Tribolium castaneum: one gene and its partners. The protein of the gene in region 4 interacts with the protein of the main gene of each other region in a biochemical or structural test. Links are inferred from orthologs where the notes say so. Each region holds a gene or a part of one and is shown on either strand. Other genes may lie near its edges. The genes, in order: eukaryotic translation initiation factor 4B, ubiquitin-conjugating enzyme E2 J1, ubiquitin-conjugating enzyme E2 G1, park, Ubc7, protein dj-1beta and elgi.

The links.
Region 1: of the proteins of park (region 4) and eukaryotic translation initiation factor 4B, one has a biochemical effect on the other in vitro, tested with the Homo sapiens proteins (2 studies listed by BioGRID). The link is inferred for Tribolium castaneum from reciprocal best matches to the Homo sapiens genes PRKN and EIF4B.
Region 2: the proteins of park (region 4) and ubiquitin-conjugating enzyme E2 J1 form a complex in vitro, tested with the Homo sapiens proteins (4 studies listed by BioGRID). The link is inferred for Tribolium castaneum from reciprocal best matches to the Homo sapiens genes PRKN and UBE2J1.
Region 3: the proteins of park (region 4) and ubiquitin-conjugating enzyme E2 G1 form a complex in vitro, tested with the Homo sapiens proteins (5 studies listed by BioGRID). The link is inferred for Tribolium castaneum from reciprocal best matches to the Homo sapiens genes PRKN and UBE2G1.
Region 5: the proteins of park (region 4) and Ubc7 form a complex in vitro, tested with the Homo sapiens proteins (6 studies listed by BioGRID). The link is inferred for Tribolium castaneum from reciprocal best matches to the Homo sapiens genes PRKN and UBE2G2.
Region 6: the proteins of park (region 4) and protein dj-1beta form a complex in vitro, tested with the Homo sapiens proteins (2 studies listed by BioGRID, with this or other methods). The link is inferred for Tribolium castaneum from reciprocal best matches to the Homo sapiens genes PRKN and PARK7.
Region 7: the proteins of park (region 4) and elgi form a complex in vitro, tested with the Homo sapiens proteins (2 studies listed by BioGRID, with this or other methods). The link is inferred for Tribolium castaneum from reciprocal best matches to the Homo sapiens genes PRKN and RNF41.

Annotation. Positions count from the first base shown.
Region 1 is NC_087400.1:562,330-566,562, forward strand, and holds the start of eukaryotic translation initiation factor 4B, read right to left. Parts: upstream 2,801-4,233; 5' UTR 2,653-2,800; coding exon 2,643-2,652; intron 2,523-2,642; coding exon 2,388-2,522; intron 2,198-2,387; coding exon 2,016-2,197; intron 1,716-2,015; coding exon 1,593-1,715; intron 1,514-1,592; coding exon 1,315-1,513; intron 1-1,314. UniProt on the Homo sapiens protein: Required for the binding of mRNA to ribosomes. Functions in close association with EIF4-F and EIF4-A. Binds near the 5'-terminal cap of mRNA in presence of EIF-4F and ATP.
Region 2 is NC_087394.1:12,101,754-12,105,775, reverse strand, and holds the start of ubiquitin-conjugating enzyme E2 J1, read right to left. Parts: upstream 2,801-4,022; 5' UTR 2,704-2,800; coding exon 2,667-2,703; intron 2,616-2,666; coding exon 2,410-2,615; intron 2,356-2,409; coding exon 2,047-2,355; intron 1-2,046. UniProt on the Homo sapiens protein: Catalyzes the covalent attachment of ubiquitin to other proteins. Functions in the selective degradation of misfolded membrane proteins from the endoplasmic reticulum (ERAD) and is essential for cells to recover from ER stress.
Region 3 is NC_087401.1:11,951,521-11,954,888, reverse strand, and holds ubiquitin-conjugating enzyme E2 G1, read right to left. Parts: upstream 2,189-3,368; 5' UTR 2,006-2,188; coding exon of another isoform or gene 1,996-2,005; 5' UTR 1,964-1,995; intron 1,910-1,963; 5' UTR 1,888-1,909; coding exon 1,842-1,887; intron 1,469-1,841; coding exon 1,366-1,468; intron 1,311-1,365; coding exon 1,213-1,310; intron 1,164-1,212; coding exon 985-1,163; intron 935-984; coding exon 857-934; 3' UTR 501-856; downstream 1-500. UniProt on the Homo sapiens protein: Accepts ubiquitin from the E1 complex and catalyzes its covalent attachment to other proteins. In vitro catalyzes 'Lys-48'-, as well as 'Lys-63'-linked polyubiquitination. May be involved in degradation of muscle-specific proteins.
Region 4 is NC_087398.1:11,672,335-11,676,391, forward strand, and holds the start of park (E3 ubiquitin-protein ligase parkin), read right to left. Parts: upstream 2,801-4,057; coding exon 2,540-2,800; intron 2,491-2,539; coding exon 2,125-2,490; intron 1-2,124. Other genes in the region: protein FAM32A, read left to right, coding at 2,939-3,148, 3,203-3,325; alpha-1,3/1,6-mannosyltransferase ALG2, read right to left, coding at 3,335-4,057. UniProt on the Homo sapiens protein: Functions within a multiprotein E3 ubiquitin ligase complex, catalyzing the covalent attachment of ubiquitin moieties onto substrate proteins. Substrates include SYT11 and VDAC1.
Region 5 is NC_087394.1:30,806,899-30,809,587, reverse strand, and holds Ubc7 (ubiquitin-conjugating enzyme E2 G2), read left to right. Parts: upstream 1-1,148; 5' UTR 1,149-1,268; coding exon 1,269-1,311; intron 1,312-1,362; coding exon 1,363-1,444; intron 1,445-1,488; coding exon 1,489-1,607; intron 1,608-1,656; coding exon 1,657-1,797; intron 1,798-1,843; coding exon 1,844-1,962; 3' UTR 1,963-2,189; downstream 2,190-2,689. Other genes in the region: uncharacterized protein LOC662537, read right to left, coding at 2,457-2,689. UniProt on the Homo sapiens protein: Accepts ubiquitin from the E1 complex and catalyzes its covalent attachment to other proteins. In vitro catalyzes 'Lys-48'-linked polyubiquitination. Involved in endoplasmic reticulum-associated degradation (ERAD).
Region 6 is NC_087401.1:11,635,873-11,638,686, forward strand, and holds protein dj-1beta, read left to right. Parts: upstream 1-1,195; 5' UTR 1,196-1,218; coding exon 1,219-1,386; intron 1,387-1,437; coding exon 1,438-1,663; intron 1,664-2,014; coding exon 2,015-2,262; 3' UTR 2,263-2,304; downstream 2,305-2,814. Other genes in the region: uncharacterized protein pasi2, read right to left, coding at 385-479, 528-657, 713-910; thioredoxin-related transmembrane protein 2 homolog, read right to left, coding at 2,305-2,783. UniProt on the Homo sapiens protein: Multifunctional protein with controversial molecular function which plays an important role in cell protection against oxidative stress and cell death acting as oxidative stress sensor and redox-sensitive chaperone and protease.
Region 7 is NC_087394.1:31,074,009-31,078,263, reverse strand, and holds elgi (E3 ubiquitin-protein ligase NRDP1), read right to left. Parts: upstream 2,801-4,255; coding exon 2,520-2,800; intron 2,470-2,519; coding exon 2,025-2,469; intron 1,979-2,024; coding exon 1,709-1,978; 3' UTR 195-1,708; downstream 1-194. Other genes in the region: uncharacterized protein LOC103312325, read left to right, coding at 1-194; THUMP domain-containing protein 1 homolog, read left to right, coding at 3,124-3,879. UniProt on the Homo sapiens protein: Acts as E3 ubiquitin-protein ligase and regulates the degradation of target proteins. Polyubiquitinates MYD88. Negatively regulates MYD88-dependent production of pro-inflammatory cytokines.

The DNA of each region.
Region 1 (4,233 bases), on a different chromosome or scaffold from region 4:
TCACGAAATTTAAAATTTTCAATTTTTTTGCTAAAATTTCCTGAGTAATAATACACTTAACTTCAAAGAGGCGAAAAAAAAAATTTTTAAACTCACTCTAGTAAATTTTTATGGACTTCTACATGTCTTAACAACCCACAAAAGTTGTTTTTAGTCCACAAAAAGTCCATATGTTCGATTTTTTGATGTTTGATTTTTTCAATTTTCGTCGCAGTTTTTGTCGATTTTGGGTACCCGGAACTTTTGTCAAGCAATAGCTCCGGAACTATCAGAGATAACCCCATGAAGTGTATTATCGTTGGAAAGCTCTTTAAATTATCTATCTTTTTCAAAAAAAATTATTGTTCTCCGACTAATAGTTTTCGAGCAAATTGGAGACAAATGCAAAAATTGGGAAAATTTTAAAAAATTCATAACTAAAAAACTATTGGGAATTTGGCAATTTTCTCGATGCCAATCGATTCCCCGGATCATTTTGCATAGGAATGGATCAAAATAGTTCCACTTTTTCGAATAGTTTAGCCAAAAATGAGAAAATAAAAAAAATTAAAAAAAAGTTAACACCCCCCCCTTAAAATCGGTCAATTTTTAAAGTGTCTCTAAATCAAATAAAACCGATTCTATCTTATAGATTTTGATGTGCTCTTTCCAATCTAAAAAAGCATTTTCTCCTAACTCTTTTAGTTTGGCCGTAATCGGCGTTTGAAAATTGAAAATTTTTTTGCGAGATATCGCCTTGAGTCCTATGCCATTTTGTAGAGTTTTTTATTCCGGTTGTCCTCCATTTTTCCGTTTCTCGATAACTCTAATAGTTTCGCCGTAATTAGCGGTTGAAAATTGAAAAAAAGTGAAAATGGAAACCTTTTTTTGCGTTTTTCTCGGAAACTGTAAGACTTAGAGCAACGAACAAAAAAATATCTGATAGCGCTTAATTTTAGCTATTGTTTCGACCAAACCCGGAGCCGCTCCGGGCAACGGTTCCGGCTACAGAGGCGATCAAAGTTTTTCACTAAAAAAATTCATAAAAAAAAAACTAAAATTCGTAGAGCAATGCGGTTTGTTCGGTTGAATTCTACGGCTCATTTTACATAATATATCAATTTTTCACACGAATTAAAAATTTAAAAATTTTTGCCTAAATTTAGGGTGGCCATTTGTCATAGTGAAAAATTTTATTCATTAAAAAAATTCATAACTCGAAAACTAAAAGTCGTAGAGCAATGCGCTTTGTTCCATTGAATTCAGCGGCTCATTTTCTGTATTATGTAGTATACCTACTGTACTATTAAAACAAATAACAAAATATAAACCAACCATCACGCTCTCTATCTCTGCTGAATCCTCTCCGCTCCATGTCTGAATTTTCCTGTCTTGGACCCGATCTCCAGTCCCCAAATGACGACATGTCACTTCTTCCACCACGATCTCGGTTCATGTCCATACGGCCACCTCTTCTTTTGTCATTGTCGTAATCTGTGGCGACGTCGATTCGTATCCGTCTATTCTTGATTGTCTATTTTTTGTGTTTTGATTTTTATTTCAATATTTTTTTTATTCGAATTTTTATTTATTTATTTTTTTGATTTACTTACAGTATCGGGAATAACCAAGGCATTTAATAAACTTTCTCTATCTTCGAATTCTACGTAACCGAAACCTTTTAATCGGGGCGCTTCGCCGGGTCTTTCGTCTTTAGGGATTCGCATGTGCGAAATCTGAAACAAAGGTTATTTTAAATTCAAAGCAAAATCTTACTTAGTTGAAAAAAACATTAAAAAAATTATTATTATTATTATTAAAATCGCACAATAATCGGAAATCTGTCAAGTCAAGATTTCCAAAAATCGAAATTTTGCCATTTAGAGTCCCTTTATTGGACAATATAGGAACTCTACTGCCACCTATTGGTGAAAAAAAGTATCAACCATGTCTATAACAATAGTTTAGTTTAAATTATGTATTTTTAAATTTTTAAAGACCTAGTTCAGGGAGGCTTTTCTGTTTATTATTTTTACCTTCATGTTCTTGAAAAACGCCGCAATTTCGCTCTCGTCGACATCATACGGCAGATTGGTCAGATATGCGATAAATGGGGGCTCCTGTGGAACTTTATCAATAATATCGTCAAAGTCCCGCGACGCCTTGGGCGCTGTGGGCAACACAACACTTGCTTTGGCCGAGCGTGGGTCATACACATCTGAAACCGTAAAGGTCAATTATCTGGATCAAACCTTGAGGCTAAAAACGAATTTTGACACCCGAAAAACAAGCCATTCCCACTTCAGATTGAATTATTAATAGAATTTCAAACAAACGGCAACCATCGCGCACAGATCGATCGCCAAAATGCTTCCACATGCACAGCTTAGAGGTTAAGTACACTCTACCATGATTATCCTCCACTTCGTCGGCCCAATTCATCGTCGACTTCCTTATGGGCATGGTGGCCACAGGGCCGGGCGTCTCCTGCAGGAAGTCGCTCAACGCCAGCGTTTTGCCTTTGTTCTTTTTGCCCTTTTTGCCTGGAATTCGGAAAATTTCAGCGTACAATAAGGTCGCCACTACACGCGGTCTGCACGGGATTCGCGCTCCCAGCGCGTTCCCAAAGGCGGGACAAGGGGGAACATGTTGGGGAAACTTACCTGAAGCCATTGCTAGTATTTACAATAACAATAAACAGTTTTTTAACAATTTCAAATTTAATTTATTGTAAAAGCACTGTCACTGACGTACTAGACGTAGAAAATGTCAGATTCTTGACATGTCAACGGACGCAGGGTGGGGGCCACGACAGCGCCAAGTTCAAATTATATCCAATAATCGGCAAAAAATAATCACAAAACGACTTGTAGTCCAAAATTTCGGGTTAAAATTGTGTAAACACCCGAATAAAAACACTTGGTTAAACATTTTATGGCAATAATTCACCTAAAACGCAAATACTTTCAGTTCAAAAGTCGGCGAATTAGCTCGAGAAAAAATTTTCTTCCACTTTTTTTTCAATTTAATTCTCTAATTTTTTACCAGATTTCGTCAAAAGATACGGGGCGTATAAGTTGATTCTACAATTTTAAAATTGTTTTTACCTTTTTTGTGACTTTCAGCACGTTTTTGACCGAAAATGGACATAATTTCTCTAAAAATCACCAAATTTATGTATTTTCTAGTCAAAAATATTGGACGTGCGCAAATCCTGCTGGATTCGCAGTGGCCATGATTTTTATTAACAATGTTTTTCAATGTTTTTTCGTTTATTTTTTTATAATTTAAGAAGTAAGTCATCTAAGGATTCAACGCGAAAGTTTGAAGTTATGTTTGACCTTTACGTTTATCTCTTTTTCTCTCAAAACAAAAGTATTTTCCCTTTATTATAATGTGCTCTTACGTTTACAATTTGGCGCCTTTACGTACTTACCTTTTGCCGCATTATTTTCTTATTTCTGTCAGTTTTATGCTCCGCTTTACGTTTAAACGTCTATGTGTTCTCTCATTTTCTTATTTTTGCTTACGTGTTGTTTCCTTACCTTTTCCAAACTTTTTTTCATAGAAAAATTTTTACTCTGATCCGAGTTCGAACCCCGACCTCCTGCGTCGTAAGTGGCGCTTATACCACTAGGCCACCAAGGCCCTAGGTCCTGACCGTGTTTTGCAGATATTTTAACACAAACTTTTTGAATAAATCAACATTACAAACTATATAATTGCAATAATTTACCTAAAACGCAAATACTTTCGGTTCAAAAGTCGGCGAATTAGCTCGAGAAAACATTTTCTTCCACTTTTTTTCAATTTAATTCTCTAATTTTTTACCAGATTTCATCAAAAGATACCGGGCGTATAAGTTGATTCTACAATTTTAAAATTGTTTTCATCTTTTTTGTGACTTTGAGCACGTTTTTGACCGAAAATGGACATAATTTTTCCAAAAATCACCAAATTTATGTATTTTCTAGTCAAAAATATTGGACGTGCGCAAATCCTACTGGATTCGCAGTGGCCATGATTTTTATTAACAATGTTTTTCGGGACTTTACTAAACAATCTCAGTTAACTAAAAATTTTTAGACATAAATTAAATGTTTTCGTTTATTTTTTTATAATTTAAGAAGTAAGTCATCTAAGGATTCAACGCTAAAGTTTGAAGTTATGTTTCATCTTTACGTTCATCTCTTTTTCTCACAAAACAAAAGTATTTTCCTTTATTATGATGTGCTCTTACGTTTACAATTTGAC
Region 2 (4,022 bases), on a different chromosome or scaffold from region 4:
TATTCTTGTTGAAAATAGAATCACATGTCTATAACCTCTTTGCCCAGTCAATAAAACAATCAAGAATAATACAGGGTGTAACGAAAAGATGACAAAAAGGAACGAGAGACTCCGCAGGTCAAAAATCAAAATAAAGCGATTTAACCAAAGTTACACTGTTTAAAAGTTCAAAAATTATTTTGGTTTTTCTTCACAACTTACTTTTTTAAATGAAATTTGATACACGTAACTTGCGTGATATTTCATTTGTTTACTATTGTAAAGTACTTACTTATAACCAATTTTATATATCTGAAGCCATATTTTTCTTATATGTTCATTCTTTTATACCCATTTTTTTATTTGAAAGATCCATTATTTTTGAACAATTTCTGTGTCTTATAAAATCTAATATATCTTATTAATTTTCCAAAACAACAGTGTAGACATTAATTAGTTGTTTTAGATAAGTTCACAACCACTTCACAACTGTGTGGAAAATGCCTTTTTTTGTTTAAATTAATAACTAATTAATTATTTACATAATAAACATAAACATAAATAAATAATTAACATAAACTTACATAAAGAAGCTAAAACATAAGTAATGCAAAACCGTATCATTTTTCAAAAAAATCCCCCAACACGTCCAATTTAATTTAGAATAGTTATGAATGCTTAGATCTCTCATAAAGTAATTGAATAATTTATAATAGCTAATTTTGAGAGAAAATACGATTTTGGTGTTTTTATAGTTTTTTATAGGTAATATATTTCTGACTTCCTGGTAAGTATAAAAAAATTTAAGAGAAAGAAAAATAAAGACTGAACCAAAAGTCATGCATAAAAATCGTATCTTTGTTTTGAATCATTTTTCAAAAAAATCCTCAAACACGCGTTTTTATTTCTTTAAATGCTACATTTTGACATCATATTGATATTTCTGACATCATTCTTTTTTGAGTAACGACGTCATTTTTAATTTTTTTAAATGACAACTGATATTTTTGATTGGTGTTTTAGATAGTATACATTTCTATCTTTCTGATAAGTATAAAACAATTAAAAAGAAAGAAGAAAATAAAATAAAAAAGTTATAAAAGTTAGTGAGAGTATTACACAAAAAGCTTTATCTTCTCGTTCTTATTATTCTTATTTTTTTGTGTAAAGTCTTCCTATTAGTTCTTAAGTATTTTCATGATAATTATAAAAAAATATAAAAAACAATTGCCGCTTATAAAATAAATCGAGAACAAAGAAATAAAGCTCATTATGTTTAATTTTTAATTTTGTTTTTTATTATCAGCTAGATTATAACTGACATTTTTGTTTACTGTTTTAGAAAAAGCACATCTTTACTTTCTAAAACAGTGAACAAAAATGTCAGTTGTCATTAAAAAAAAATTAAGAATTATGTCACAACTCAAAAACGAATGACATCATAAATATAATATAATCAAAATGTAGCATTTAAAAAAATTAAATCGACCTGTTTTTTTTTTAATGACATAACAAAGATATAAATTTTGTACGCTACTTTTGGGTCAGTCTTTGTATTAGATGGCAACCTTAGAAATTACTTAAATTATTTTTGTACTCAAAAACCAATGCTGATACAAAAAATTATGAGATATAAAAATTGTTCAGAAATAACGTACCTTTCGTTAAAATAAGATTTACACCACTCGTATACCATATAACAAAAATATGTCCTTAAAAATGTTAAATTGTTGATAAGAAAATACCTTAAAACAACAGAAATGACACATAAACATGTGGTTTTGATAGCAAATTACTTTTTAGATATTACGCGAAAGAACTGCGTTTCGGACTGAAAAACATGTTGAAACACACAAAAACATAAAAACATGGTAAAAACCATCCCTATTCGCTGGTAAAAACTATAAGTCTTTTGAAATTATTTGCAGATTTTTCAGTACGATTAAAAAATAGTTTTTAAATCCCAAAAGCCTATTTTTTTAAATATAGTTTACAGATTTAAAAAAATATAAATACTCGCGTTTTCTTTTGCGAAAAAGTCTTCAATTAAAAAAATTATTTACTCACCTTGAGAGCAATCTGCTGGATAAGGGAAGCCTCTTCCTGAGTAATATTTGACGATTTTGACTGCGAAGAAAGCGTCTCTGCAATTTTACCGCAAATTTGACACTCCCAATTGATGGATTTCTTTGCTAAAATCTGTCTTTCTTCTGGGGTGTAGTCCAAGGAACCAATCGTGCCGGCTGCAGGAGTCGGCATGAAAGCAATTAAAGCCAACAAGGCTGTTCTTATCGACCACGACGGTTGCCAGCTCTCCGGGTGATGTCCAGAGATAGACAAGCAAATTTTTTTGTTCACCTCGAAGCGCCCATTTGGCTACGAGTTTGCAGAATGAAATAACAATGAACAATTATTACAAAATTGACTCACTGTTAACAAAATAATATTGGGGGGCTGCATGGGATACTGTGAGGGTAAAAGAATACGTCCGTGGTAGAAACCGCCCTCAAACTCCGTGCTAGGGGGGCCTCGCACTGTGAAATGCCATTCAAACAAGTTGTCTTCCAACGGATGGGCGAAATATTCTTCTGTGGGTTCGGCCAGTTCTCGCGCTTCGCGCATGAGACGTTTCACCCCTGTTTACATTGGAAATTTGTCGAGAATCACTTAAATATCCGATTTCTTACCTGGGCTTTTTAGGTTATACTTATTTTCTAACGACATGCTTTGGTAGGTCTCAATCACTAATAAACTGAACGTTTGTACTAAAAGTAAGGATAAAGACAACACTAATTTTGTACAGAAATATTTAAGAAGTGCCGAAACGGGTACAAAAACTTGTCATGTTTCTTGTTTAGGCGAACTGTCAAAACAATCAGCTGATTCTGCAAATTACAAACGTGGACTTTCAACAGCAGAAACGTTGTGGCTCGTTGAGATTGGTGAAACGTCTATCAGGAATTTAAAAGGTAGGTAATTTGTAGATAAGTGGTTATTTTTCAGTTTTATTTAACGTGAGTCGTCAGTAGTTTAAAATGATTGAGGTTAGAAAAAACAATACCACTTTCAACTCTGTATATTTCGTTAGAGCTGGCTTAGATATACAGATTATAGAGTGAACTAAACAAAATCACCCAATTGCAAATACAAGGTGTTTCACGTAATTTTACGAGGCCTGCGACTGTAATAAAATCACTTAGATCTGGGTGTTTAGTGCCTAGGTACTGTTAGGTTGGTAGTATTTCAGCACTACAGTAATTCCCCGCCGATTTTGCACCTGTCATGTTCTGTGGTGTTGTCAAATCCGAAGTAAAAACGTGTTGTGCTAAAGATTTATTATTAATTTCGTTTAAAAACGTTTGTTATGTGTTCATAATCGTTTTTGGTTTGTGTTCTACTAATTATTTAGTGTTGATAGTGGATTTGTTTCTGGTCGCTTGAAGACATTCACTAGACGAAGGGTTTACAATTTTTCTCAGGTAAATGTAAATATTCGTAGTTGATTATTAATAGGCGCTTAATCCAAAATATTGTGATTCATCAAAACGAAAAATAAAACTTTTTAAAGGAAAAATTAAAATTTGGTCCGATACTACTTGAATCACGGAGTGTTAGTAACTTGTTTTTCACTTAATTATTGGATAGAAATAGTATAACAAACCATAGGTATCGAAAAAAATTAGGGGAAAACCCTAAACAACAGATTAGATCCATCTGGTATGAGGATTTTTTTTCTAAAAGATATCTCCTACCATAATTCGGTGTCACTGTGACTTTTAATGATCGAGGCAAAAAAATGTATTAGCAACATTGAGTTATTGGCCTCCCTGCTAGCTTTTTGTATGGAGCTGTTTCATCTGACAGTCATAAGTTTACAAATTCGTTATCAACTTGACCACAAAAGTCACAATCATTAACAGTTGCTCGGTATAATATGTGAAAATTGCCAAAATTTTTCTCTAGGTCAAACTTACGAAAAGTGGTAGTCAGTTTTTTGTATTAGATTATGTAAAATTGCAAATTAAAGTTTTGTATACAAACCA
Region 3 (3,368 bases), on a different chromosome or scaffold from region 4:
TAATACGCACAAATGATTAGAGATATTGTTATTTGTTTAACTTTAGTTAAAACTAAAATAAATTACATCAAAGCAGTACAAATGAATGTATTTTGCAAGCAATAAGAAAAAATATAATGTATGAATATGTAAAATTGTACTATTCATTTGTGTGTAGTTTATTTAAAGACCAATTTACAACAGGTTTAATGCAATGGAATAATTCTGAACTTTAAGTGCGATTTTTTCAGAATCCTCTCACTAGCAATATGAAATAAAGTCGATTTCATTTACAGGATTTTTTGTATTGCTGAGATTTGTGAAAATTCTGTAAATGAAGCAACTTTGGCCTAAGGTAGAGAGGACGTGGAGTCGAATCAAGTCAATTAAAAATTAATTTTGCAAGTAAATGGTGTGAAAAACTCACCGTTTCGGGCGCTGCACTATTTGAAGGCTGTTTGACGGGACGCATTCTTGCCAACTCGGGATTTTAGGTAAATGTCCAATTATTAATAACGATAGATTTATTAATAAAATTTACTTAACTTATGATTCCTACAGTGTTACAGTTGAAATTTACATAAACTAATAGCAGTTACAAGTAGTGTTTTCGACAAATGTCTTAAGTATTACAATTAAGACAACATTTGAATCTTGACGATCGCTTTTCGTTTTACAATACCACATTCACGCTGAAAACTTGAATTAGACCCACAGAAATTTGAATGATATTATTTTATTGAAAAGAAAAATCCGACTCTCTTTGAGATCGTGAAAAAAAATTAAGAAAAAAGCAACGGACTCGATTCCAGGTAATATAAAAAATGCGAATTTTTCAATTAAGAATCAAACCGTTTTGTGAAATTGGTTTAATGTACTAACATTCCTCTTGGGACTTTCGGACACATCGTGCTACTTTTCGTTTGAATTCGCCGTACATTTCCCGCCACTCTTTCTGGAATTCCCCAATTAGTCAAGTGATACACACGCTATTTTTTCTCTTACCGCAGCATCGACATTCGCAGGTGATTCATCGTTTGGGTCGGCTAACATTGAAATAACGGATATTAAAATAGTCTCTACAGTATGAACTGGCAGCCACCTTTCTGACGCTTTTTCATAACCGAACTTATCATCCCCTGGCTCGTGTAGGATTGATATACACACGTCGCCATTTTTATCGACTAAAATGACACTCAATTAATTCTGTGAGCCCCCCTGGGGGTTGCTTACTGTTAGGGTGCCATATTTCTGTCACGAATTTCATTTTGGGCGGCCTGAGTGGATATTCTTTGGGGAAATAGAGGTGGCATTTGAAGAAACCTCCTTCGCTGCAACACATTCGCGTTCCTAACCTCAAATTTTTTTAACGATTAAAAAACTTACTAAAGCGTGTCCGGAGGGCCGATTATTAGCACTTCCCATCTATAAATGTCATTATCGTCGATTAGCCCAGCAGAAAAGCCCTCGACGGGGTTTTTGTTCAATTCTGGAAACAAACCAAAACTTCATTATTAAAATAACACGACCTTAAGGTCATCGCTCGTACGAGCGACTTTCACGAATTTTTCATGAAATGAGGGATGCAAATGTCAGAGATTTTTTGACAGTTGGGGTTAGAATCGTGGGGGCCCCCCGTGTTTGAGGGGTTAGGTGCGTCGGTTGGGGTGTATTCGCCGACAGGGGGCCCCAAGTTTCGGGGGTGGGTGGCTGCATGTGGCCGGGGTCGTGTCGGGTTGAAATTTTGGGGTTATAATTGATCGTTTTGTGGATTTCGGGCCGAGTTTGGTGTCGATGGCATCGTATTTCTTTGTGCTTTGTCGGCGATGAAAGAATGAATTTAAATCGTTTTCGTGACTCACCTGCTAGCTGTTTTCTTAGTAGAAGGGCTGACTGTGGTTCTGACATTAATTACAAACTTAATTTAGAGCTAAAATTAAGAAACAAACACAGTTTTCTGGGAAAAGATGGCCGGTGTTACTACCAAATAGGACCGCATTGGATCATTTGAGTCACCTAAAAACATATGGTATGTTGGTGTTGGTTTGCGTCCGGGGTTGGATTATGGCCGACGGGTGCTAGTCTCGGGTGGAAGGGAAGAAATCTACGCCCGGTTGCGGGAAATTTGAAGTGTGCGACTTTTGAAAAGAGAGTTTTGGAGTTTACGAGAATTTTACGATTTTCGACGAATTTTGACGCATGACAAATAAAATAGGTTGCTTTAGTTTCAAAAGGGTCTGTCTATTTTGCTGACCAAATAATTATTAAACAGTAGTAGTTTTTAATTTTGAAGATAGAAGAGTTGAAGAGGCATTATTGTGAATATTCAGCTCTTGAATAATTTGAATAATAATAATAATAATAATAATTTGAATAATAAGTTATTTTTTTCTATTGTTTCTTGTTGTGTTTTTCCTTACCTTGTATTTATTACGGCTAAAGTATAAACTTGGCTAGCTTGTAAACTAGCCAAAGCATTGGTCAGTGTTACGGCTAATGTGTAAACTTGGCTAGTTTGTAAACTAACTGGTTAGTTTGTAGACTAACTGGTTAGCTTATAAACTAGCTGGTTAGTTTGTAAACTAACTGGCTAGTTTGTAAACTAACTGGTTAGTTTGTAAATTAGTTGGTTAGTTTGTAAACTAGCCAAAGCATTGGCCAGTGTTACGGCTAATGTATAAACTTGGCTAGTTTGTAAACTAGCCAAACCGTTGGCTATTTTAATAGAAAATGCAATTTTAACTAAAATAGCGGCTAGTATGTAGAGTACCTACAGTCCTCGGCTAATTTACTTGAAAGATAAAATGGAATTTTATGTTCGCATTTTATTAATTGTAAGTCCGAGTTGTCAGAAGGTTGGTAAGTTGGGTGGTTTAAAAACAAGATAAAATATCCATTGTTTTAATTAGTTTATATAACAAGATTTCATAACTTCAATTTATTCACATAAGTTAGCCCAGTGAGTTGGTTAGTTTGTCAACTAGCTAAAAAATTGTATAACTTGTGTTACCAGAAAATACGGTTTTAATAGTAACCAGAGAAAGTCTTGTAAAATTTATAAACCATTTTATCTGTCAAGTAAATTAGCCAAGGTTATTAGCTAGTTTGTAAACTAGCCGCTATTTTATTTGAAAGTGCGTTTTATGTTAAAATAGCTAATGCTTTGGCTAGTTTACAAACTTAACAGCTAGTTTACACATTAGTCGTAACATAATCATATAAATTTTTATTGAAACAAATTTTTAACAAAACTTTTTTAACAATTTTTTCACGAATCAAAGTTGAGTGTTATCAAGAGAACGTCTTGGATGATCACAGATTTAGATTTGTTGTAAAAAAGTGCCCCAAGAATGTCCTACTTCGTCTAGTTCTTTTGGCTTTCGCTTTAA
Region 4 (4,057 bases):
ATCATAGTCGTTCTTAATTTGTGTTTTAAGAGCAAGCTAAACTAAAATATTTCTAGCGAAGGTCGTTAAATCGATCAAGTATTTTCTGTTACCAAACGAAACTGTCTATCTTTGCTTTTGTACGCATCTCACGCACAAACAAAATATTATTGTAGCGCTTTAGTAGATTCCCGTTGAATACATTTTTATCTCAAAAAAGGTAATATTAAAAGAATTAAAAATTAAATTTACCTACTTATGTGCTACCTACTAGTAATTTCTATTGACACTTAATTAAAAGAAATGATTTAAGACAGGTACAAAGATAGAAAAAAAAGCAGGTAAAAAAGGAGAATTGAAAAGTTATGGTAATCCAATTGTCTTTGTTTATAATTTATTATTAATATTGTAATCTAATAAAAAATCTAAACTATTATTCTTGTGTGTCGTTTTGATTATGGAGCGATTCTTACTTATTTTTACATAATTTTCTCTTCCTTATACAGCGTTCAAAATGATGTTGCCAAACTTTACGGTGTTATAGAGGTCACTAAGATAGAAATGTTTTGCTGATAAACGCTGATAAATGAGCCGTTTTGCCTCTAGAGTCATGTCTTTGTCCAGAAATGATTACATTCAAAAATTCCCATAAAACTTACGTTTCATAACGTTATTTCAATAAATTGTCAAAATACCACTGCCTTATTTCATGTCAGTTTGCTCTACTTGCGTTAATGTTTGATAAAAAAGTATTTTAAACATGTATACATTTGTCAGAAAATAACAACAAACATCTATTTTTATTTTTTTTGAATATTGATTAATTTTTCCGGCGCATCCACCATTTTTTTAATTTGCAGTTTGTTAATAGTAAATTGTTTTACACTTGTTTTTCTTATATTTTCTGTACACTTGTACATTTTTGACTAAAGTTATTCAAAGTAGTATTTGGAAATGTTTAATTTGATAATTTCTCCCGGCGCATCCACCATTTTTAAAACGCTGTCTTGTTCACTTTAAGACACCAACTGGTGTCAAAAGGCGGTGGTGTGTGCATGTGTTGTTGTCATTAAGTCATTGTTAATTCCATCTTTTAATGTTTACTTCCAAGAATTTGAACGAGTAAAAAGCCTGATGATGTTTATTACATTAACTTTTAACTAAACTTTTTAAGGAACTTGGTCTTATCGTCGTGAATTTTTTTAAAATCAATCAGTCAAGGACGTTTAAAAAATTTTTATTATAACAATTTTTACACAATACTAGAGATTTCATCATTTCAATTTGAAACAGTTGTAAAATTTGGATTTTTTCAAGTCACAAGACATTCTACTTTGAAGCAGATTTTTTTTAAATAATTATTTCTTTTCAGTCCTATAACTCGCTTACGGGTAGTCCTATAACAAAAGTGCATAGGACCAATTTTTGTAGGAAATTTCATCAGCTTTAATTTTTGTAAGAAGGTGAAAACCGACAATGATTGTTTCCGTGGTATAAGAAATAAAACGAAAAATGACACACTTAACCCTCTCCCCCATCTCGAGCTCAGCCTCCATCCTCTGGGATTTTTAATATCTGTCTATCTAAAGAACGCGTTTAAAAAATTCCAACTCACTAGGAATTTTTGCCACCAACCGCCCAATTCTTGTCTGGTCTAACTTGACTGGGCTAGATACCTGATTTATAGCTGGAACACATTTTCTAAAAATGTTATAGAGACCCTCAGTAGTAACCCAAATTTCAAATTTAGATTTACATTCAATAAATTTGGTAACTGTAGAAAATTTTAACTTTATGATAGAAAAAGAAATTTAAAAAAGTATCTGAAAATATTTTGGCGTATATTGTTTTTAATTGTCTTCAGCGACTTTTAGTTTTTAAAATTAACATTGATTTCCCTGTACCAGAATTTCGGTTTAGCTCGCTCTTATGGTGTTAATGAATCTGCTGCTTCTAGTTAGGTGAGCGGACATTACGATTGCAAACATTTTAAAAATTTTCGCAATGCTCCTTAGTAAGCGTAAATATTTTTAACTTTAAATATTTTGACTATAAACATTTTAAAGGAAAATTAAATTTTGTCCAGTACTATTTTTAGTGTGGAGTGTTTTTGACTAATTTCAATTAAATAATTAAAAAACGTACGTTGGCGCACAATTCGGGGCTATTCTCACAAAGGCCGGTTATCTGCTTTGGCTGCAGCACATCATTCCAGTTTTGGGGGTCTGAGTGCACCGTGAAAGCCCCCGATTTGCAAAAGTGGCACCGAACTCGCAATTTCCCATTTTTGAGGGCTTTACACGTGGGGCAATAGACAAAAAAGTGGACTTTGCGTTGCTCGGTGGGCCCTTCCTCGTAATCATCGTTTGAAAAACTCAAATCTGATAAGGTCTCACACAGAGGTTTGCCCTCGTCACTTTCCTCAATTACGGCATTGTTTAAAGTGGGAGGGTTGGGCTTTTTGGTGATTTTGATAGCGTGGAGGGTGCTTTGTTGGCCCAAATCACATTCCTAGAATGACTAACTGGTTACGACTAGTGGTATTGAGGGCAAAACTCACAGAAATACTAATGTTGTCTCCCAGCTCTTTTCCAGCGAAAATAATCTTTACCTCGCCTGGTTTCAGTCCCAATTGGGGCGCAACGAACTCTTTCACCTCTTTTATGTCCCAGGTGGGGTCCAAATCGACCGAAAGCGTATTCCCTGTGTTGGTTTTTATGTAAATACTCAAATTATTGCTCAGCGTTTTTCTACTAAATGACAGAAATTGTAACATCTTATGCAACAAATCTTTAATTACGTTGATAATAAAACTCATCATCTGTGGTAACCGCGGCCGGGCTTATTTTTAGAAAAAAACATTTTTTGTGAGGAAATTTCATAACCTCATTCTTGGGGATTGTCGATCCGTTACGTTGGTTGTTGTGTGAAAAATTCCAGAAACGTCAAAACAAACAAGATGGGGCAAAGTGACGACCCATACGCACAAGTTTGCAAGGGAAAATTGCAATTAAAAGGTGATAACAGCATTAAAAAGAAAAAGAAGAAGAAAGATAAGAAGTTGTTAGAGCAAGTGAGCAAAATTGTCGAAAGTGAGACACCGGAATCAAAGCCTGCGAGGCAAAAAACAAAAGCCGAACTTGCGTTCTTAAAACAGCAAGAAAAAATGGTAAATAAATCACATTTCGTGTTAAATTTGTTGCCTGATTGTTACAATTTGCAGCAAACTCAACGCATCTTGGAAAAAGCGTCAATGACACACAAAGAAAGAGTAGAAAAATTCAACCAACACTTGGACGGGCTCACGGAACACTTTGACATACCTAAGGTCTCTTGGACTAAGTAAAATATTTATTTAAATAAACTTCTTATTTACACTAGTGTGATCAAGGATTTTCTTCAAATTCCTTGCAAAACTCTCATTTGAGAATTTCTCCTGCAACACTTTGCGCCCCTTGAGCCCCATTGCCTTGTTATCCGACTTGAATATCCTGTACATGAATTGCGCTAAACTGTCGGGGGTCGGTTCGCATAAATAGCCCGTGTTTCCGTGGTCGACTGTCTCTCGGGGGCCCCCACTGTTGCACGCAATGACGGGCTTAGCCACCGTCATTGCCTCGAGGGGGACAATGCCGAAGTGCTCCTTCACGGGCGTGTAAACGAGGCAGTCACACGCCATCAGAAGTTCCGTCTTGACGTCATCGGGGGGCGACTTGAGGAAAATAATCTTGTCTTGGAGCCCCTTCTCAGCGACGAGTTTCTCCAAGTCGGTGAAATAACTGGCGTTTATGGACGATTGGGGGTCGTAGCCCCCGGCCATAACCAAGAAAATGCCTTTACGTTCATTTTCCGAGGTGATTCTTTGCAAAATTTCCATCGCATTGATGGCCAAGTCCAGTTTCTTGGCGGGATGGAAGCGGTTGATGGAGAGGAAGACACAGGCGGCGTTTTGGGGTATTTCTGGGATTATTTGGTGGATTGGTCTGGGGTTTTTGGTGTTTTTGACGGCTTCTAAGAACGAGGAGGCCACTGTGGGGTACACCACTTGTACAGTCTTTGTGATTTGGGGGAAAGTCTC
Region 5 (2,689 bases), on a different chromosome or scaffold from region 4:
CGAAAGCCAATAAACAAAACAGGTTGAAAAAAAACTCTAATAAAAAATTTAGGCTTTTTTGTTGAAAGTCTTTATTTAATGCGATTTGTTTGGAACATATTTTACGAGTTAATTTTGGGGCACTTCCTGTTGTCGTAGCAACTTGAGATTTTACATGCACACGTAACTTTTGGAGCACAATTACGTCATGTACTTCGATTCCTGATTTAAAAATGTGCAGTGCTATCTCGGTTCCTGAGGGAGATACGGGAACGGGACCTATTCCATTCGATAGCCCAGGAAAAATACTACGGGGCGGTAGGGTTTTCAAAAGGACAGAACCACCCCTCTATCTCCAACAGAAACGAAGATATTTCGCATTTTGTAAATTGCAGATTTTCTTCAATTTTTATAAAAATTTTGATAATGAAATAAAATTTTAGTAAAATTCAGCAAAATTTTAAAAATGGATTTCGTATCAGGATCACAGGAACGCAAAAGGGTAATGAGAAATTATAAATAACTTAAAATACACGCAGATGTATAACTGGTTGCATGTAAACGCCGCTAAAAATTTCGTGGCCTCTTTGCGTTCCTATGATCCTGATACGAAATCCATTTTTAAAATTTTGCAGAATTTCACATAAATTTTCTAGCACTCACAAATTTTTTTATAAAAACTGAAGAAAATCTGAAATTCACAAAATGCGAAATATCTTCGTTCCTGTTAGAGATAGAGGGGCGGTGAAAACCCTACTGAGCCGTAGTATTTTTCCTGGGCTATCGAATGGGATAGGTCCCGTTCCCGTATCTCAATCAGGAACCGAGGTAGCACTGCACATTTTTTAATCGGGAATCGAAGTACATGACGTAATAGTGCTCCAAAAGTTATGTAAACATGTAAAATCTCAAGTTGCTAACATAACAGAAAGTGCCTCAAACTTAAACTTTAAAACGTCTTAAACTATTTTTTTTTAAATTGTAGGTAGTGACATTTGGGTGTCAAATCTTAAAGTACCTTTTATAGAGATCTATAAAACATTTAAAAATAATAAAATCTAAGGTAGTGACATCTAAGCAATGACTGCAAAACTACGCTCTTATAGTAACCTGTAAATTGTCAAAGTACCATCTACTGAGTCTGATCTATAGCTGTTCGATGGAGTTGGTGATTGCAGTGCACTTTTTTTTAAGAATTGACAAACGCTCACGTAAAATATTATAAAGAATAATTAAATTCATTCAATGCACATTTTTGGGTGCTCATATTGTTCAAATATTGATAAAAAATGGCAGGCTCAGCTCTAAGACGCCTTATGGCCGAGTACAAGCGTAAGATGCAAGCCTAACCTCAAACTATTTGCATTCGTTTTATGTTTCTAGAACTGACTCTGAACCCCCCAGAAGGTATCATTGCTGGTCCAATAAACGAAGAAAATTTCTTCGAGTGGGAAGCGTTGATAACGTAAGTTGTCTTTGTAGGGAAACTTTCATATGACGGGTTTTTAGTGGCCCTGAGGGGACATGTTTTGAGGGCGGTGTTTTCCCAGCTAAACTCATTTTCCCCCCGGACTATCCCTTAAGCCCTCCTAAAATGCAGTTCACCTGCGAAATGTTTCACCCTAATAGTAAGTATATTAGGGTTTTTGTAACAGGAGATGAATCAGCAGATTTTAGTTTATGCTGATGGGCGAGTATGTATTTCCATTTTGCACGCCCCTGGAGATGACCCTATGGGCTATGAGTCAAGTGCTGAGAGATGGTCTCCTGTACAGAGTGTTGAAAAAATTCTTCTCTCAGTTGTCAGCATGCTTGCAGGTACGTTTCTTCACAAAACAGTAACAAAATTCAACATGATTTTTAGAACCTAATGATGAGAGTGGAGCAAATGTTGATGCTGCGAAAATGTGGCGGGAAAATAGGGAGGAATTTAACAGAATAGCGGAGCGGATTGTAAGGCGAACGCTTGGGATTCCTACGTGAATTTTTACAAATTTTAACTGAGAGTTACGTCTGTTTGTTACAATTTTAATAATTTATGGGGATTAAAGTTTAGTTTTAAAGTTCAAGACTAAGGGCCTGGCTTGTTACCGCGCTAAAGTGAGAAAAAAATTTATTTCAATATATTATTTCTGAACAACAGTTAAACCATAAACTTAGTCTGTTAGGAACCTAAGCTATTGAAATAAATACAGCAGCATCCATTCACATCAGGAGTCTTAGTCTTGTCTAGCGCAAAACCCCGTTTTGTGACTAACATATTCACAACCTAATAAGAAATACGTTATTTTCTGGCTTAACTACTATCATGTGCGTTTGCTTCCTTATAAATAAGTTATTGGCTTAAAAACTACAGCTGACTTTCCAAGCATAACAATACTAAAATCACATTAAAACTTTGGTCTGAAAGTTAATTGCACAAATTTAACAAAACAACAAAATAAATAACTATAAATATGAAAAAGAAAGTGAAAACCTCAGGACTGCCGAGGATTTGTGTTATTCAAAACAATGTAATTGTTCAGAGGTATGTTGGAAACGATAGGTGCTTGGACTTCTTCTTCCTGATAATCGCGTCGTATCGCTGGAGTAGGGATTCTAGGAGGGACTTGTTCATTACTTGTATCTTCTACATCTATCAGATGCTCTGAATAATAATGCGGAGTGTTCAAGTAGTCGATCATTCTCCTCGGCAATGGAAGACTGGGGA
Region 6 (2,814 bases), on a different chromosome or scaffold from region 4:
TCCGTATAATCTATAATAGTACATGTCGTTGTACAAACTTAGTTATAAGAGTGCGCAAAAGTGGATATTATAATACAATTAAAAAACCACTTACTTAAAAGTAACATGGAAAATATTGCTTTAATTAAATCAGGCGCCCAGCTTTCGCCGGGCAATCAAGAAATTTTCATAGACTCATTTGAATTGTTCCCCTCCACGGAAATCTTTAGTAAAAGGCGAAAGATTTATTCGCACTGAAGGGAAACCAGAGTGATGTTTGAAAATCAGCCTTTCGTTTATATCCTGGCCCGTACGTATGATATTCGTGACTCGTTACATTTAGCGCCACCTATCCACCACCACAACAAGTACCAACAACAACAAATCAAAGTTTTGTAGTTTTACCTTCCGGAGAGCAATTATAAGCATAATGCTGGTCACAAACACACCAATTGCCAGAAGAATGGAAAAAGCAGCAAACATTACAAGAGTATTGCGGACTAAAACAACAAATTGAGGACAAATGGGCGATTAAATGGTGGGCTTACCGTGACGGTTTCCCACGTAAATAAACTGGTAGGAAATAACGTAATAGCCGGTGTGGACGGACCCTGGGACTGCCATTGAGTAGCAGTAGAGATCGAAGCAACTTGTGATAACTGTGAAGATGGACAACAGCTAAAACATGAAATTTATGAAAATGTGATATTTAAACAAAGGGGGCGTAACATACCAAAGAAAACACTCCGATTAATAGGGAGGATCTCTGGACGTCCAAAATATAAGATTCGGTTATGATTGGTTTTCTGTACCAAGGGATTTTCAACGATTTTATACTTCGGCTACTTCGCAAATTCGCACTGCTGCGTGTTGTGACGTGTGAGTACACCGAGGGGGTGCCAGTCGTTGGCGATTTCTTGCCGTAATTCATGTTTTTATGTATTTTTTAACAATTAAATCAATAAATAAAGGTATGACACATTTGGGTAGGTAAACAAATAGGTGTGGCAAACGTCAAATTCCGCCGCCAACCTTGCAACACCAACTAACTAGGTGTGTTAATTACAAGGATGTAATTACCGTAATTAAACAAAATCAGTCATTATGACATTAATTTAGGGAGTACGGACACAAGGGGAATTACGTGTATTTATTTCCAATTTTATTTTTTGCAAAATATGCAATTTTGTTGAACAACCTAACGCGAACAAAATCCCCAAACTGGCATGACCTACTCCAATGTCAGTCATATGTCAAAGTTTTAGGGCTCCGCTCACTCGCTTTAATAGGTTAGGATTAGCGGTGCGTTTTATTTCGAATATGAGCACAAAAGCCCTTGTTTTCCTCGCCGGAGGCGCTGAAGAAATGGAGGCTGTAATCGCAATTGACGTACTTCGCAGAGGCGGTGTAAATTAACCCCTACTAAAAAAAAACACAAATTTTTCCTGTTATTTTTAGGTGGAAGTAACAGTTGCAGGCCTACCGGACGCCAACATCATCAAGTGCAGCCGCGGTGTCAACATTAAACCTGACATTTCAATCTGTGAGGCCAAAGGCCCCTTTGACGCAATTGTCTTACCTGGGGGGCTAGGAGGGGCGAAGGCTTTGGCCGCGTCTAAAGAAGTAGGGGAGTTGATTCGGGAGCAGGAGGCGGCGGGGCGACTCACGGGGGCGATTTGTGCCGGTTTGTAATAATTTACTGTGAAATTTCCTTAATTATACAGGGTGACCCAAGGGTGTGTAATCTATTTGATAAAACTACAAGGTATTCAGAATTTTTCTATTGCAAATTTGGCGGAAAATATTCATAGGCGACTTCGTTATGATTTTTCAAAAATTGGTCTTTTTTATAACCAGAAGTTGAATAATTCCGTTATACAACACCCTGTGTATAATAAAAATATTTTTAGTTTGTGGATTTTAAGTCGATCTATCGGATAATGAAAACAGCATAGCAATATTTCAAATAGCAAAGTTACACAGCCCTGTGTCACCTGTATAATTGGTTGCCTATGTTAAAATTATGGGGTTGTAGCGCCCACGGCCTTGAAGGCCCATGGGGTTTATGTGGGCAAGACTGTGACGTCGTACCCAGCCATGGAGGCGCAAATGCTCGAAGGTGGTCAATATAAATACAAAAAGGAGCCAGTTGTGGTTGATGGGACTCTGGTTACAAGTCAAGGGCCTGGCACTGCCTTCGTCTTCGCCCTAACCCTAGTGGACAAACTTGTCGGAAAGGACAAGGCGGCAGAAGTGGCCAAAGCCATGCTTTTGTCGTATTAACAATTTATTACTATGGCACTAGAAACAAATAAATAACAATAATTAGTCGTTCTTCACGTGTTTGTTCTTATTATTCTTAAGCGCGCTCTTGCACTCTTCGTACAAGTTATTGAGATCGAAAGCCCCTTTAACGTTCTCACTCGAGAAAAAGAATTTCAAAATGTTGCCTTTTGAGTCAATAGCCGGCCTCCGCACCACTTCTTTCCCTTCTTTAAACAGAATTGTCGTGGGTAACTGCTTACTTAAACTGCTGTCATTCACGCGATATTTCTGTGCGGCATCGGGGTATCGCCCCACGTCGATTTTCCCAAACTTGAAATTCTCCAAGTGATATTCGGTGCTCAGTTTTGCGAAAACCGGGGCGAAGTTCACACAAGCCGGGTTCCAGACGGTGTAAAACGTGACCAACCAATAGCCGTCCCGACTACGTGCCAATTCCTCGTCCAAGCCTTGCATGCCCCGGAAATAAATGACATTGTCAGGGCCGGAATACGTGGGCTCGGGAAATAGCAACGCCCCCACTGAAATCACCCAATTAAATGCGACAATTAT
Region 7 (4,255 bases), on a different chromosome or scaffold from region 4:
AAAAAATTCTCAAATCAAATTTACGGCCTGTTTCAACTCTCAACTTGAATCCTGGGTATTCAAGTGCCGGTCGTGAACACGTAGGATCCGCAATTTTACTGTTTTTAGGCGGTGTTTTAATCGCGTTATTATTTCTCGTGTCCGAATTCGTGTTTTACTTTTACAAACGGGGTCGTAATCACATTAACATATAAAAATTTACTTGTTTATTACAAGAATTGGCAGCACATAAGAACTACAAAATGCCCAACAGAAGTTAAGTACATTTAAGCCTCAATATTAATCACATTACAAAATAAATAAACATCGCACCCCCCAAAACCCTAACAAAAATTAACTGCAAGAAGCTACACAAATGTATTTAGCTCTTTGAGTTCCTTTGCTAGTCCTCAAAACGTAGGGGAGCTTCGAGTAGAATTTAGTGTTTGATATTTCCATACCTCCATTCAAAAAATTTAGAAATTAAATCACATTTCTGACGTGACTAGTGTTATGTCAGACCAAATCCGATCGGATGTAGGAACGACTTTGTTGTGAATTTTTGAGATCAAATGTCAGATCATTAAACTATACATAACTAAAACGAAACAAAACGGGAAAACCGCACATCCACCAACATTCAAGTCTGCGTCAGCGTTTCCGTTATTGTTGAAAAATCAATATTAACAGCAAATTCTTTGAAAATGCAAAAGTAATCAATTATCCTGGCGGCAGGAATTATTGATGACTTTACGCATTATAAAATCGACAAATGAACACGTTCTGGAACAAAATTGATGATGCAGTCAACGTTTATAATAATTTCTTGATTGCAAAAAGTAAGTTCAATAACACTGGTCTGCAAAAAAATTCTCCCTATTATTATAGGCACTCATCATATATATATGATGCTCGAAGACACAAACTTTTTGTGTAATAAAAAATAAAATGTAAGTATTTTTTAAATTTGGCCTTGCAATCGTTATTAAAGACTTGACTGATTGGCTTCTCCTCCAATTGGAAAATTTAAGGATTGCTATAATATTTACAACAAAAATTATGTGTAAAATACAAAAAATCAATAAAACAATTAAAAATCCTGGTCGTTGATGACGTCACTTTCAATATTCGTGACGCTCCCGGGAGTTTAGACACAGTCAATAATTATTAATGGTTAGATCTCTCATTGAAAGTATAAATTACATTATTATTATTTTTTAAAGTGCATGAATAATTTATTAAATTTATAATTTACATGCGAATACAATCAAAAACACAAGAAAAACGTAACAAAAACAGTTGAAGAGAATTAAATTTTCTACAAACGACGTTTAAAGCCCCTCAAGCGGCGAATTAGTTTCATTTTTACCGGTGTTTAAATGACCCATTAAAGCTATTTATACGTAAACGGGTGAAAATGTTTTAATAAAGTAGACCACAGCCTTAATTTACTTTTGGTTCATGAATAATGGCACATTGCAGTAAGTTACAAAACAGTTAATTTGTTCAAGCTGAATAATCCTGTATCATTAGTGCACTTCCTGTCAATTTTCTAATTTTACGAATTCTAATTGATAAAATTGACTGCATCACCACCAGAACGGAACAATTTGTGGCACTTACAGACCCCAGATTTTATAATAAAGCAGTGAGAAAGATTATGATTAAACTTAATGTAAATTAATGTATTTAAAAGGAATGTAATTAAAAAAAATAAAAACAAAGAGGGTTACTCTATACCGTGAGCAAAAATCATAACTAAACCTGGCTCTACCATCATGTCTTCGCCCATATGCGTATTGTCGCACGCCAGTACCAGCACAGCCTGCTTGCCCGGTACTCTTTTACAAACATAGTTTTCGTATTGTCTCCTATTGTTTTGCCTGGTCTCCAGCGAGCTCAAGCCGGGGGGCCACCTCCTCTCGTGACAATTTTCCATTAGATCGTCTAATATGTGGTTGGGGCACCCCATCTCAGTTAACGTCCTTCTAATCATTCTCTGGAAGGAAATTATGAAAATTTCGCCACTTGTTGATTGAACCTACTTGAAGAACTTCATCTGGTGTCGAGATCATCCCTCCCCATCGGGTGACTCGCGCCCTTTGGAGAAAGTTGCTCCACCTTAAGACTTCATCTCTCTCCATTGCATCAGCTATTGCCCTCATTGAAGGGTTCGATATCCTCATGGCCCTCATGAACTCCTTCAGCAGCTGCATTTCGCGCTTTTGCTCGTTGATTAGGAAGCGCTGCTCGGTGATTTCCTGCTGGAAGTCGTTCATTTTCTGCTGCTGGGTCTGTATCAGCGCTCGCAGTTCTTTCACGCAATTGTGGTCTTTCAACTCATCTTTAGGAATCACTAAACCACAGCCCTTCTCACACGGTAAAGGTCTCTTAGGATTATGTTCGCATTCTTCAAGGTGGTTCGAGAGAGAGTCTAATTTTAATACACGCGTACAGCCATACTGAGCGTTATCACAATTTATACACAGTCTGGAACAAAATATTGAATCGAACGGTTTCATTTCAGACTTTTTGATTACCTAGAAAGCAAGTTTCGTAAAATTCGGGGCACTGGGCGCAGTTGCGCTGATGTGACACTTTGTCGGTCCACGGGGCATGTGGGCTGTCTTGTGATCCATTCGGTTATGCAGGACTTGCAAAATGCATGCTCGCACACAGGTGCCTGCAAAACCAGTAAGACTTTTTCCATTAAAAAAATAAGTAAACACACCTGCAAGGGGTCCTCCAGTACTCCCGAACAAATGGGGCACACCAATTCCTCATCTACATCTCCTTGAAACCTATTAATATCAAAGCCCATTTTAACAGTAACGACCCATCACAATTTGCACGGATTTTAGCACTGCGATTTATTTATAAATTGTAAAATCATATGTGACAAATGTCACCCATCAACAAAATGTCTGACACAGAAACAAAAAATTTAGGAAGTTTTGTCTGTTAGGTTGGTCAGGCGTGATGTTTCAGCTAACCTAATTTTTAAGTGCGTATTTATTTTAACTTTTTATGCTTACAAATAAAAAAATATTGGATTAATACGTGTTATTAACAAAGAACAGTGGTCACATATCGATTTATTTGGTGAATTGTATATTACAACATAGTTTTGTAGGGGTCGTAGTCATGAGTAAGCCAGTTGTTTCCAAACAAAAATCCAAAAAATACTACTTTAAAAAAACTTCCAACAAAAGACTGAGCTTGGACGTGAACTTGCGGGGCTTCCTCTGCAGTTGTAACAACAGGGAAAAGGACTGCATTAAGGAATCTTACAATTTACTAAACGAATATGCTGACAAATTGTACCAAGAGAGCAACGAACCTGAAGCTGAGCAAGACATTGACGACTCGTTGGCTAAAGAAATATCCGAACTGAAGCAAGACAAGAGTGAAAAACGATTCCAGGTTATAGAATCTGGTGCCAAAAATTTCCTATTCATTAGGACGAGTTTGGAGAATCCGGTTGAGCTAGCAGAGGCGATTATAAAAGATGTTGATGGGAGTAAGACCCAAAGAACGAAATTTTTGCTGAGACTGATTCCTGTGGAAATTACGTGCAAGGCGAATGTGAGTGATATTGTCAACGCATTTGTGCCCCTCGCCCAGAAACACTTTGTGGAGTCCCCGCAAACGTTTTGTGTGATCTTCAACCACCGGAATAATAATGTTGTTTCGCGGGATGAAGTCATAAAATTAATTGCAGCGAAAGTGTCCGAGCTGAGGCCTGATCATAAAGTTGATCTTAAAGAGGCAAAAGTGGCTATTATTGTTGAAGTGATAAAGGGGTTTGCGTTTTTAAGTGTTATACCTGACTATCTTAAGCACAAAAAGTATAATTTATTGTCACTTTGTAGTCAAGAACAAGTAGCTGATTGTAATTAATGTTGCAATAAAATTTTCTATTAATATAAAAATTTTATTTCCAAAGTTTTGTTCTAGAACAGATACATGGTTGCATTGCTACAACATGAGTACACATAGTGTAGGTTTGACTATTACCATTGTTTAAAATTTCAAAGTTGCATCATAAAATTCAAAACATTCGTCAATTTCAAGAAGTTAATAAACATTAAAGTAATATATGGTAAAAGTTTAATATCTTTATGCTTAATGGTAAATAAATCTTTGTACAAATAGGAAAAGAAATAGAAAAAATACAGTATTTTAAATGCACTGTGAACATTAAGCTCAAAAAAATGAAACAAATACCACTTCCTAAAAGATTTCATTGTTAATTATACTATCGCTACTTTATTAC